3 linked regions of the Oryctolagus cuniculus genome follow. The protein of the gene in region 2 purifies or fractionates together with the protein of the main gene of each other region. This does not show direct contact. Links are inferred from orthologs where the notes say so. Each region holds a gene or a part of one and is shown on either strand. Other genes may lie near its edges. The genes, in order: PSME3, CLK2 and ACIN1.

Evidence for each region.
Region 1: the proteins of CLK2 (region 2) and PSME3 purify together in Homo sapiens (affinity purification with mass spectrometry; 3 studies listed by BioGRID and IntAct, with this or other methods). This does not show direct contact. The link is inferred for Oryctolagus cuniculus from reciprocal best matches to the Homo sapiens genes CLK2 and PSME3.
Region 3: the proteins of CLK2 (region 2) and ACIN1 purify together in Homo sapiens (affinity purification with mass spectrometry; 3 studies listed by BioGRID and IntAct, counting the BioPlex papers as one, with this or other methods). This does not show direct contact. The link is inferred for Oryctolagus cuniculus from reciprocal best matches to the Homo sapiens genes CLK2 and ACIN1.

The regions. Positions count from the first base shown.
Region 1 is NC_091448.1:20,082,130-20,086,088, reverse strand, and holds the start of PSME3 (proteasome activator complex subunit 3), read left to right. Parts: upstream 1-1,493; 5' UTR 1,494-1,564; coding exon 1,565-1,639; intron 1,640-1,741; coding exon 1,742-1,774; intron 1,775-1,891; coding exon 1,892-1,954; intron 1,955-2,147; coding exon 2,148-2,252; intron 2,253-3,037; coding exon 3,038-3,086; intron 3,087-3,879; coding exon 3,880-3,959. UniProt on the Homo sapiens protein: Subunit of the 11S REG-gamma (also called PA28-gamma) proteasome regulator, a doughnut-shaped homoheptamer which associates with the proteasome. 11S REG-gamma activates the trypsin-like catalytic subunit of the proteasome but inhibits the chymotrypsin-like and postglutamyl-preferring (PGPH) subunits.
Region 2 is NC_091438.1:43,283,207-43,287,165, forward strand, and holds the start of CLK2 (dual specificity protein kinase CLK2), read left to right. Parts: upstream 1-1,584; 5' UTR 1,585-1,881; intron 1,882-3,340; coding exon 3,341-3,510; intron 3,511-3,959. UniProt on the Homo sapiens protein: Dual specificity kinase acting on both serine/threonine and tyrosine-containing substrates. Phosphorylates serine- and arginine-rich (SR) proteins of the spliceosomal complex.
Region 3 is NC_091443.1:51,939,033-51,942,891, reverse strand, and holds part of ACIN1 (apoptotic chromatin condensation inducer in the nucleus), read right to left. Parts: intron 2,885-3,859; coding exon 1,628-2,884; intron 1,170-1,627; coding exon 951-1,169; intron 451-950; coding exon 335-450; intron 1-334.

The sequences.
Region 1 (3,959 bases), on a different chromosome or scaffold from region 2:
CCTGCTAATGCGCCTGGGAAAGCACCAGAAGATGGCTTAAATGCTTGGGCTCCTGCACCCACGTGGGAGATCCAGAAGAAGCTCCTGGCTGCCGGCTTCAGCCTTTGCGGCCATCTGGGGACTGAACCAGTGGTTGGAAGACACCCCCCCCCCCCGCAACTCTGCCTTTCAAATAAATAGGCCTTGTTTTTCAAAAAAACATACATGCAAACGAATGGGTGAAGAGTGCGCCTTAGGCCTCCGTTAGGAAAACGGATAAGGCACCGCCCTAGCAGTCAGGAGAGCCGGCTTGCGGGGGCCCCCGCGGACCTGGGACACGCCCTGCACTAATCCAGCCATCAGTGTGCCCATTACGTAGTTGACCTCTGAGGTCTGGAAGCGTATGGTACAATGAAAGGTGTTTGTCTCTAGCCACAGCACTTGAGCTGCGGCCAACGGGAAAAGGTAGCGGGAATCACAGACTAAAATCCCGAACTCGGCACCCGGGCCACCCGCTTCCTCCGGCCGACGTCACTGGGGCGCGACGGAGTCGTCTGGCGGGCAGCTGCGACCTGAGAATCCCTTCGGGGAAGGCGAATCGGGGCCAACAGAAAGCCAAACAGTCCCCGAGTCTCTTGAAAGCTCAGTTCTCAAAAAACCAACTCCTACCACCTTCCCTTTTGCTTCACTCTCAGCCAGCTTAGCAGCCGGCCGCGACCAGTCCCAGTCGCAGAGCCCCCAGCCCGACAGACAGCGCGCCTGCGCAGAGTACGCGCGCATCCTCGCGGGAGCCCCGGCGATTGGCTGTGACGTAACTTCCGGCGTGAGCGGCGAAAGCCGGGAGGGCGAGGGAGAGTGCGAGCAGGCAGCAGGCAGCAGGCGGGCAGGCGGACGGACCGCACGGAAGGAGGGAGCGAGCGAGCAGTGAGTGAGCTAGAGACGGCGGCCGGGTCCCGAGGGCAGCCGGAATTCCTCAGGTCCCCCTGGCCCCTCCCCGGAGCCCACAGCGCCTCCGGTCTCCAGCGGAGCGGACACGGCCCGGCCCGGCCATGGCCTCGTTGCTGAAGGTGGATCAGGAAGTGAAGCTCAAGGTAGCGGCACCGGTCCGGGCCTTCTCACCCCTCGCTTCTGTCCCCCAGCCGTCTGACCGCCTCCCTACTCCCCGTGGTGTCTTTGTCTCCCTGGGGACACCGGCTCGGAGCTTCCGCCCGGCTCAGCCCAGCCCCCCACGCCCGGAGACGGCCTTAGGGGGAAGGGTATTACAGAGAGGCCTTCCGTCCCCGCGTCTGGTGATGGAGAACCCGGGGAGACCTCTGCAGGCACGTGTTGGAGTCATTGCTTTCGGCCGGTGACAGCTGGGAGTCCCCCAGCCCAGCGACGCCCCCGCCCCGGGGGCGCTGCCCCTGCCCTTGGCGGCTGGCCCGCTTCCTGTCATAGGCCAGGTGTGAGGTGGGCTAGGCACGTTTGTGATCTCACATCCCCGCATCTCCCTGTCTTTGTCAAATTCAGACAGCTTCAGACGCAGGGAGGGAGGGGAGAGGAGACAGGCGGGTGCTGTCTCCGAGCCCCGCTTTCCTCTCCTGAGATGGAGAAATGGATCCTCAAAAAAATAAAGTATTTGCAGTCTGGGGGCCTCTCAGCTTCTCATTACAATCGCCAGGTGAGGGGCAGAGAGCTGGGTTTGGGATTCCCCATCCTGTCCTTACCTCTGTTGCCAGGTACTGAATTGCTCTTCCTGAATTGCTGTCTTTGTTCTTTTTAGGTTGATTCTTTCAGGGAGCGGATCACAAGTGAGGTGAGTGAAATGGAGAAATGCGTATTGATTAGGAGTTGGGAGTTTCCCCAAGAGGAGGTGATTGCAGAGGGAGCCCTTCCCTCTGTCATTAATTCAGTTGTATTTTCCCTTATCTAGGCAGAAGACTTGGTGGCAAATTTTTTCCCAAAGAAGTTGTTAGAACTTGATAGTTTTTTGAAGGTGAGAGACACTTTGCTTACTTCAGTTCCCCAGCGTCTTCAGGCCTGCCCTTTCTGTCAGATGGAACCAGTTGTGTGCTGACTCTGTTTTGTTTTGTGCTGTAAAGCACTCTCACGGCTTGCCCTTCCAGTGAAATGGTTCTTTGTTCAGCTTGAAAAGACCAATGTTTTGAGGGTGGGCCTGTCTCTTTCAGGAACCAATCCTAAACATCCATGACCTAACTCAGATCCACTCGGACATGAATCTCCCGGTCCCTGACCCCATTCTGCTCACCAATAGCCACGATGGACTGGATGGTGTAAGTGGCCCGTGTTTATCTTTGTGTTCTGAAGCAATAGGTTCTCTGTTTTCTAGTTCCTGGGGAGCTGGAACATACGTCGGGGGATGGTGGCATTGGGGTCTGGCATGATGGCTCCAGGATACTTTCAGACCCTGATGTGCATGTCTAAAACGAGGTGAATGCGCCCCAGGGAGTCTCAGTGCACTAACCTGGCCACAGGCCCCCGTCGCTTCCCAGGCTGAACAGGCTCCTCTTGCCTCCGCTTCACGGCCTTGAGTCTCGTGGCTGAGGCGCTTGCCGTGGAGTCGCAGACCCTGCCTTTTCCGTGCAGTCACCATCTGCGTCCTCTTAGCACACCGATGACGCTTTGTTCTTTGTCAGCGTCTCCTCGGTAGAACTTGCACGTCTGCAGGCGGGAACTGTCTTCATTGTCCTCGTGTCCTCGGCACCTAGCTTTGTTCCCAGTGCCCAGCGATTGCTGAATTCTTGTTAACTGAATATGGTGTTCCCTCATGGAACCAGCAAGTTTGTACATATCCCCTTAATTATCCTCACCGTGCCTCGATTGGTTCCTTTTTCCTGCTCTTTATAGTGTCCTCCCTTTCCCCCAGTTGCTTAAAGTGTTGTGTTTCTTGCAAGGTTGTTGCTTGGTGGCAAGAACATTTCTTCAGGCTTTATATGTACTTGGGAAATTATGCAGAAAAGAACAGGACAACCTACAGGGTCAAGGAACAGTTGACTTGCTTGAAGGGTGTCTTGTGGGTGTGTACGGCAGGCTGATTCCTGCCTCTTTGTGTCCTTAGCCCACTTACAAGAAGCGAAGATTGGATGAGTGTGACGAGGCCTTCCAAGGTAAGAGCCACCCCGGTGCCCCCTGACCTCCCCCTGACCGCCTGACCGCTTGCCCTGGGAAGTAGGATGGATCTGGCGTTCCCTCAGCCCAGAAGCAAGACCTGCTTTCCCAGAGCCAGTGTTCCCAAGTCCCCCGGACAGGGGCGTCATTTAGCATTGACCTCGTGTGGGCCGCTGAGGGGGAGTGGTTGGAGCAGCAGCCCACACAGCTCGCGCGGGTCAGAGAAGCCCCAGTGCCATGTTACTTATTTCCTTCTCAGCAGTAGTTGTTGATGTGTTCCGTCTTTAAGGTGTTTATTTATTTTTAAAGATTTATTTTATTTATCTTTAAAGATTTACTTTGTTTATTTGAAAGGCAGAATTAGAGATCTGTCCTCTGGAACAGACACAATGGCTGGGGCTTGGCTAGGCCGAAGCCAGGAGCTTCTTCCAGGTCTTTTACGTGGGGCAGGGGCCCAAGCACTTGGGTCATCTTCTGTTGCTTTTTTAGCAGGGAGCTGGGTTGGAAGTGGAGCAGCGAGGACTGAAACCAGTGCCCATATGGGATGCTGCTGTTGGCTTAACCTGCTGTGCCACAGTGCTGGCCCCATTTTAACGTTCTTGTTCTTAGACTTCGGGCATACTTTGGATGCTTATCTACTGAGCTGTGCATCTCTGATTCTGTCAGTGGTGCCGTGGTAGGACTGTGACAGATGAAGGGCAGCGGTCAGAGCCCTCACTGGCCTGGGAAGGAGAGTGGAAGATGCCCCGGCCTCCCTCCTGCCTAATCATTCGACCTTCCCATCCCTGCCAGGAACCAAGGTGTTTGTGATGCCCAATGGGATGCTAAAAAGCAACCAGCAGCTGGTCGACATTATTGAGAAAGTGAAACCT
Region 2 (3,959 bases):
AGCATTACTGCTAGGGCCAGAGCTCTGGCATAGGGGGTAAAGCCTCTGCCTGCAGTGCCAGCGTCCCATATGTACGCTGGTTCGAGTCCCAGCTGCTCCACCAGGTCCTTAGGCCGCTGCACCCACGTGGGAGACCCAGAAGAAGCTCCTGGCTTCATATTGGTGCATCTCTGGCCTTTGCGGCCACTTGGGGTGTGAATCAGCAGATAGAAGATCTCTCTCTCTCTGCCTTTCAAATAAAACTTTTTCTATATGCACCCTTGATAACAGAATTTGAAGAAATGTGAGATGATAAATCATTCGAATGGTACAGAAATAAGAAACAGTTTAGAAATGCTTATTTTTATATTAAATATTTGAAATCTAATGATTTGTACATAAAGTTCAGTAATATAAAAAAAAACTTTATGCCTGGTACAATACTGGATACATAATGGACATGTAGCAAATGCTTGTTGGATGAATGAATGATTTAGGAAACTGTTCATGATGGAGTGAGATCTCTCCTTTATCAATTCCTTCATTATCATTCCTTTTTCTTCTTCTTCTAGATTTATTCTATTTATTTGAAAGCCTGAGTTACAGAGTGGGGAAGGAGAGACAGGCAGACAGACAGACTTCCATATGCTGGTTCCTCCCCAAATGGCCACAACAGCTGGTCTGGGCCAGGCTGAAGCCAGGAGCTTCTTCCGGGTCTCCCACGAGGGTGCAGGGGCCCTGGGACTTGGGTCATCCTCCACCGCTATCCCAGGCCATTAGCAGAGAGCTGGATCAAAAGTGGAGCAGCCGGGACTCTGGAACTGATGCCCATATGGGACGCATGAGTTGCAGGCCAGCAATTAGGCCACAAAGCAGGCCCCTACCTTTCCTTTTCCTACGTAAAGGCATTTCTAAACCACTTCTAGTTAATGATGTAATCTCCATCTGACTATCCCCAATCTGACAGTCTGACTTAGTTATCCTGCGGTTGTTTTATTTTCCTTTCTGACCACTTCCTCCTATAGCGTCTGTAGCTCTGCCCAGGTTGCCTCAACGTCTTCTCTTTTCCATTCTTTTTTTCGTACATGCAAAGCACGAGAGATACTCTTCGCGTACCCAACGGATGATTCTCCGTTCCTCCGTTAGCTCAGCCCTCCACGCCCTGCCCTCACACGTGCGTAACTTTGTTCAGGACAAAAGGTGGAGCCTCTCCGCGGAGGTTAGCTAGGTGAACTACATTAGAAATGGGTATTTTCGGGCTATCCCAGAGAGTCGGATCTCACCAAGCCTCACGGGACTGAGTTTTGCCGACATCTCGTAAATGACAACCCTTTCTTTTAAATTTCTAAACCCAAGCACGCCACAGATGCGCCCCTGGAAAGAGCCAGAGGAGGGAACGGGAAAGGACAAGAGGCGGGGCGTGGCGAGCCTGGCGGGCATCCGGCGCGGCCCGGCGGCCGCTCCCCGCCCCCATGAACTTCCGCCCCCACCGCCCGGGCCTGACAGGCGGACGCCGCGAGCTCCCGGAGCACGTGGTGGCGCGCGCGGCCCTGGGGGCGGAGCCAGGGGGTAGATGGGAAGCGACGCAGGACGTGGTGCGTGCGTACGTGCTCGCTCACAGCGGCGGCGGCGGAGCGGAGAGGCCAGAGCCGGAGACCGAGCTGGGATCGGGCCCCGGGCGGGGGCGGTGCGAGCGGCGCCAAGCGGATCCTGGGGGCGGGGACGGAGCCGGGGCGGGCGGGACTGGAGCGGAGCCTGGGAACGGGCGGGAGGTCCCAGGGTCTCGGGTTGGGGGGGTGGAGCCGCACTTCGTCGCCGCGGGGGTGCCGGGACTCCGGCCGCAGTGCCGCCGCCATCACGGACTTCCTGTGGGACAAGCGCACGGGCCTCGCCGCCAGAACGGTGAGCGCCCGGGCTGGCGGGCCGCGGGGCCTCGCGGGAAGATGGCGACCGCGGGACGGGCGGGGATAGGGTTGGACGGGGGTGAAGGGACGGAGCCGAGCTCAGGCGGCACGGAGGGCTGAGACCTGCGAAGCGGCAGAGTCGGGAGAGGTGGAGGAAGGAGGTCGGTCCGCCGCGGGTGGCTGCGGCAGATCCGTAGGAAACTCGGGAGAGAGAAGTAGGAGGAGGGGTGGTGGAGTAGGGAGGGGAGTGGTCCCAGAATATCCAAGCTGGCCTGAGGTTTCCACAGCTGCAGAGGGGGAAGCCCCACCGTGTCCCTCGGAGCCTCCGGGAGGAGTTTGTAGGAGTTAGTTGTAGATTTTCTGGGTGAGAAAGGGAGAAGCTAGGGATGCCTTGTTGGGGGTGGGGGGAGGGAAGGCCTGTGAGGCACTTGGGTGATGGCGTGTACGTGGTGAGATGGCATTTATGTGGCTGTGCTAATCAAGGTAGAACCTTGTGCATACCTCTTGGTTTCCTGCCAGCCCGTCAGGCCAGGAATGCATCCGATATCACCGTTTTCTCTTTGAGAAGAAGTTCAGAGTGGGAGCCTGCATTGGAGTCATTAAAACCTTTTGCACACCCGTATTTCCACCCCCTGCCTTGTGTTCCCTCGGCCTGTTTCTGTTCAAGCTGCTCTCCTGTTCTCTTCCTGGATCATAGCTGATTTTTTTTTCCTTGAAGGAAATAAAGAATTCTTGAGCTATACCATTCCGATTCCAATCATTGGAAAGTAGCCACTCTCATCCAAATAGTGCTGCTACTAATTTTAAAAGTTTCTGTCTACTTCCTAAGCCCGCGAGAGCAAAGGTCAACTGGGAAGCTGGCTGTGGGTTGGCAGCTACTGTATTCAAACCTCTCAAGGAGGATTTGGCTGGGGATGTGAGTGCACGTTCCTGGAGCTTCTTGGATTAGCGTGTAGCTGCTGTATGTAGACACCTGGGAACTGCACTTGTGTGCTCAGGGTACTGGTGGCCTGGGTGTAGTTGGAGAGAGAATACACACTGTAACCGAATGCTGTGGTACTGGTGACTCGTGAGGGGTTCTGCGTCACGCGGATCCACACCTGAGACCCCAGCTAGGGGTGACTGAAGCATTCACTGTCTGCCAGTCACGCTGTCACCTGTAACAAGCTACGGCCTAGGCCGGAGAGTCTTCAGGGAGCCATGGTTGAGAACGATCAGTGTGGCACAGTTGAATTTGACATGGGGGGTAGTTATAAAGGGTACGTTTGGGTGGTGCTTTCTAGAGTTTTTGGCCAGTTAGTAGGTGACATGTTCCAGAAAGGAGGAATTGTAAGCACTGAGGAAGCTGTGGGTGATAGACGCAGCAGAGAGCAGGTTAGCATCTCTGGAGCAGCCAGTTCTGGGGAGGCACGGGGACAGGGCTTTCTTCACTATTTCCACTTTTCCTTGCCTTCCAGATGCCTCATCCCCGAAGGTACCACTCCTCAGAGCGAGGCAGCCGGGGCAGTTACCACGAGCACTATCGGAGCCGAAAGCATAAGCGTCGAAGAAGCCGCTCCTGGTCCAGTAGCAGTGACCGGACGAGGCGGCGCCGGCGGGAAGACAGCTACCATGTCCGTTCCCGAAGGTGAGGCCTCAAGGAGAGAGCCGGACTCGCGGCCACTCATTCCTCCGTTCAGCAAGGGCTGGTGCTGAGCAGGTGGCTGAATGTGGTGCCCAAGGTGGCGATGCTCAGGGAGGGGCTGCGGGCGCACCCGGCAGGATGGGTGGGTCGGGGAAGCTGCAGAGAAGGCGCCATTGTCCTCCAGACAAGCAGGAGTCAAATGCCTGTACCTTCAGAGGGAGAGGATTGTGCGCAGAGGACTGGGAGCCGAGGTAGCTAATACTAATGGATTCAGAGAGCGTATTATATCTGTGTATTCGGTAGTTAGTGCTTAGTTTTAATTATTTTTTTTAGAGATTTACTTATCTGAAAGGCAGAGATGCAGAGAAAGAGATCTTCCATCGACTGGTTCACTCCCCAAATAGTCAAGGCTGGGCCAGGCCAGAGCCAGGAGCCTCTTCTGGGTCTCCCAT
Region 3 (3,859 bases), on a different chromosome or scaffold from region 2:
AACAGGCTCCTGGGCTCCAATGGAGCTGGTCAATGTGAGTTAGGATGCCCTAAGTCAACTACTGACACTGGTGCCTGCTCCTTAAAGGAGTTGACTACTTTGGCTGGATGATCCCAGGTATGTTTTCCTCATGCCCTGACCATCACTTCTCAGAATACCTTAAGAGTTCTGGTGGCAGGTCCTGAAGTAGTAATTAAGTCTAACATTTGTTCAGATAAAAGCTCTGCCTTCATAATGGAAAACAGACTAGGAATGCCTAGTCAAAGACCCCTAGGGAGCAGACTATCCCCTGCTTGTAGTTCTTGCTATAGCCCAGTTGAGACACAACACTTACACAGTGTGCTGAATCCTTCCTGATTCTGGTAGATGAGAGGTCTGAGTCTCTGAGGTCTGGGGCTGTGTGGCAGCTGGTGGCTCTGCCTCTTCAGCTTCACACTTCTTTGGGCTCCCCTGTCAGGTGACAGCAAAAACAAACAGCAAACTACTTAAATCTGTTTGGTTCCTTTTCGTTAACCAAGAGCTGGAAAATGGCAGGGCAGCACATACTCAGTACCAGCTAGCAGCTCCACATGCAGCCCTCTGCATCTTTACAATTTCGTTTTAGAATATGGAATGGAATATGGTACCTGAAGAACCTCTGTGCCAACAGTCATTTTATTAGAATTACTTTTTGAGAGAACTGAGAAAAGGCTTCCTTTTGGGCAGACAAAAGGACTTCTTAGGGAGAAGTGACCCAGAGCACCCTGAAGATGAGGACCCTGTTGTTCAGCCTCATGTACAGCTTTCTTGAACCAGGGAGTAGGAAAGGAGGTAAGCAGGAATATTAGGTATTCCCAACTCTCTCCATTTCCACTAAAGCTTGTCGATACAACTCAGTTTTAAAGTTAAGACGAAAGAGAAAATCGTGCCTAATCCTTCATCTCCCTCAAGGGAAGGTCACAGTAGCCTACCCGCTCAGGCTGTAACCTCTGGGTCACATGCTTTTCCGCTGGCTCAGGCTGGCTCAGATGCCTCACATGGATAGAGGATGAGGAGGTGGAAGTCCTCTCCTTTGGCTCAAGGACCTGTAGTTGTGGCACTGGTGGAGTTGCAATCTCCTGACCAGAAGAGGGATCTTTGGTTTCCATGAAGCTGGTGCTGCTGTCCCTGGAGACTCCAGGGCTCAGTGACTGAAGAGATGAAACACACATAAAGGAAAATACATGGTATATATTCAGTAGACCACTGAATTTTCCAACTTCTGCTGACCCAAGAGAATACTTTGATCTTTCTGGCCCTGTGTTTTTTCCTGAGCTAGTAATCTCCCTTGCCTCACTATTATTCATTAGGTTCCATCTAGATGCTGGGTACCAGTATACACACACACAGAAGCTTGTCCACACCCCGCAGAAGTTTACATTTAGTGGAGGAGATGAAGAAATGGACTCAACATTCTCTGGAATCAAAGGAACCCGCTCAGGAAGAAAAGGAACCCCATTTAGTAATCAATGAATTGAAAATTAGATTCTGAAGTTAGAGGAAAGTCAGGCTTTTCCTGTAACTGTCAGGAATCATGATAGACACTACAGGGGCTGAAAACACACTGGTGTACGGACAGAACATCAACCTGGGATTCTCTCACACTCACTTTTCTGCTGTTGCTTGATGCTGAACGGGACCGGGACCGGGACCGGGACCGGGACTCTGATGTTGATCTGGAGTCCATCTTGGGTCTACCACGAGGGTTGGTGTGAACATGTGCCTGGGATACATCTCTCTGCTTGGACCTCGGAGGTGAGTGAGATGGAGAGCCTGAACTGTCAGGAGAGCGAGATCTGGACCTAGAACTGGAGGATGAAGATGAGGACGAGCGGCTAGAGGATGAATCAGCTGACTGTTTCAATCTGTGCCCCAGCAGAAGAGGGTGAGAAGCCCTTCTGCCTTCCTTCTGTTCCAAGGACAGCTGCCTCACAGACTGCTCTGTGATTCCCTTGGCCGGTGTTAATTCCTGGATTTTTAGAGGGAGTGGCTGAGCAGATTTTTCTGAGTCAGTTTCAAGAGCCTTCTGGGTTGGGTACTGAGCCAGTGTGCTCCTCTGACCTAGAGGCAGGGCACTCTCCTCTGGCACTTTCTCTGTGGGAGATTCTGCTTTGGTGTCTGCAGGACTTGACAAAGGAGACAGGCTTCCCACCAACTGGACAGGATGCTGAGCTACTAACAGCTCCCTGTTCTCAGCATCTGTATTAGGAGGAGATAACTGAATGAGGACAGGGGGTGCTGGGCCTTCCATGGGCTCGATTTCTTCACTCTGGAGTTGTGCACGAGGTGGTGGAGAAGATGCTTCCTTGGTAAGTAAAGGTGGGGGAGTTTCCTCCTCACTGACTGTTAGCTCTGGCTGCAGCACAAGAGGGGCTTTCTCGAGATCTTCAGTCAGTCGAGGAGGGGAAGGCGATTTGGATTTTTCCTCCAAGTTTTGTGAAGATTTTATTTCTCTTTCTTCTTCCTCAAGGGGAGACGCTGTCTTCATCTCTCTTTCCTGCTGCTGTCTGGCTAGATGACTTTTTCTGGCTTCTTCCTGGGATCTTGTAACTCTTCCTCCTCTCTCTAAACCCTCCTGTTCCTGGGACCTTACAGTTTTGTGTCTTTCATCCATTACCTCTTCTGGTGTTGCTCTGGCCATCTCTTCCCCCTCTTCTTCCTCAAACTGTTTTAAGATTGGTACTTCCCTAGGTTTTTGTCCCTCATTATCATCATCTTCCTCTTCTTCATCTTCCTCCTCATCTTCCTCTTCTTCCTCTTCCTCCTCTGTTTTCAAATTTCGATCTGCTCTAACCCTCAGATTTCTAGAAGGTGTTTCTTGATCTTCCTCCTCAGCAGTGCACTCAGAGACTTTTGCAGCTCTTGCCTAAAAGAAAAGATACACAATGGTTCCAAACATGTTTGTTCACAATCAAAAGAGAAAAAGTATCTTATTAGACACCCCTAGGAAGAAGAAACAACCACACACATTTTCTGCAACACAGAAGACAAGTATGACTGGAGACAAGCATGAGTAATATGCTTAGGGCAACAACAACAAAAAAACCCAAGGGAAATTAAGAATGAAGTTGCTTCCAGTTAATTTCTTTCTTTTCTTTTTTTTTTTTCTTTTTTCTTTTTTTTGACAGGCAGAGTGGACAGTGAGAGAGAGAGAGACAGAGAGAAAGGTCTTCCTTTTGCCGTTGGTTCACCCTCCAATGGCCGCCACGGCTGGTGCGCTGCGGCTGGCACACCACGCTGATCTGATGGCAGGAGCCAGGTGCTTCTCCTGGTCTCCCATGGGGTGCAGGGCCTAAGCACTTGGGCCATCCTCCACTGTCTTCCCGGGCCACAGCAGAGAGCTGGCCTGGAAGAGGGGCAACCGGGACAGAATCTGGCGCCCCGACCGGGACTAGAACCTGGTGTGCTGGCGCCGCTAGGTGGAAGATTAGCCTATTGAGCCGTGGCGCCGGCCTCTTTCTTTTTTTTTTAAAGGTTTATTTATTTATTTGAAAGTCAGAGTTACACAGAGAGAGAAGTAGAGAGAGAGAGGTTTCCATCTGATGGTTCAATCCCCAATTGGCTGCAACGGCCGGAGCTGTGCTGATCTGAAGCCAGGAGCCAGGAACTTCTTCCAGGTCTCCCATGCGGGTGCAGGGGCCCAAGGACTTGGGCCATCTTCTACTGCTTTCCCAGGCCATAGCAGAGAGCTGGATCGGAAGTGGAACAGCCAGGACTAGAAGCGGTGCCCATATGGGATGCTGGTGCTTCAGGCCAGGGCATTAACCTGGTGCACCACAACGCTGGCCCCTCAGTTAATTTCTTAGATTCAAGTTTTTATAATATAAACAGAACATCTAGA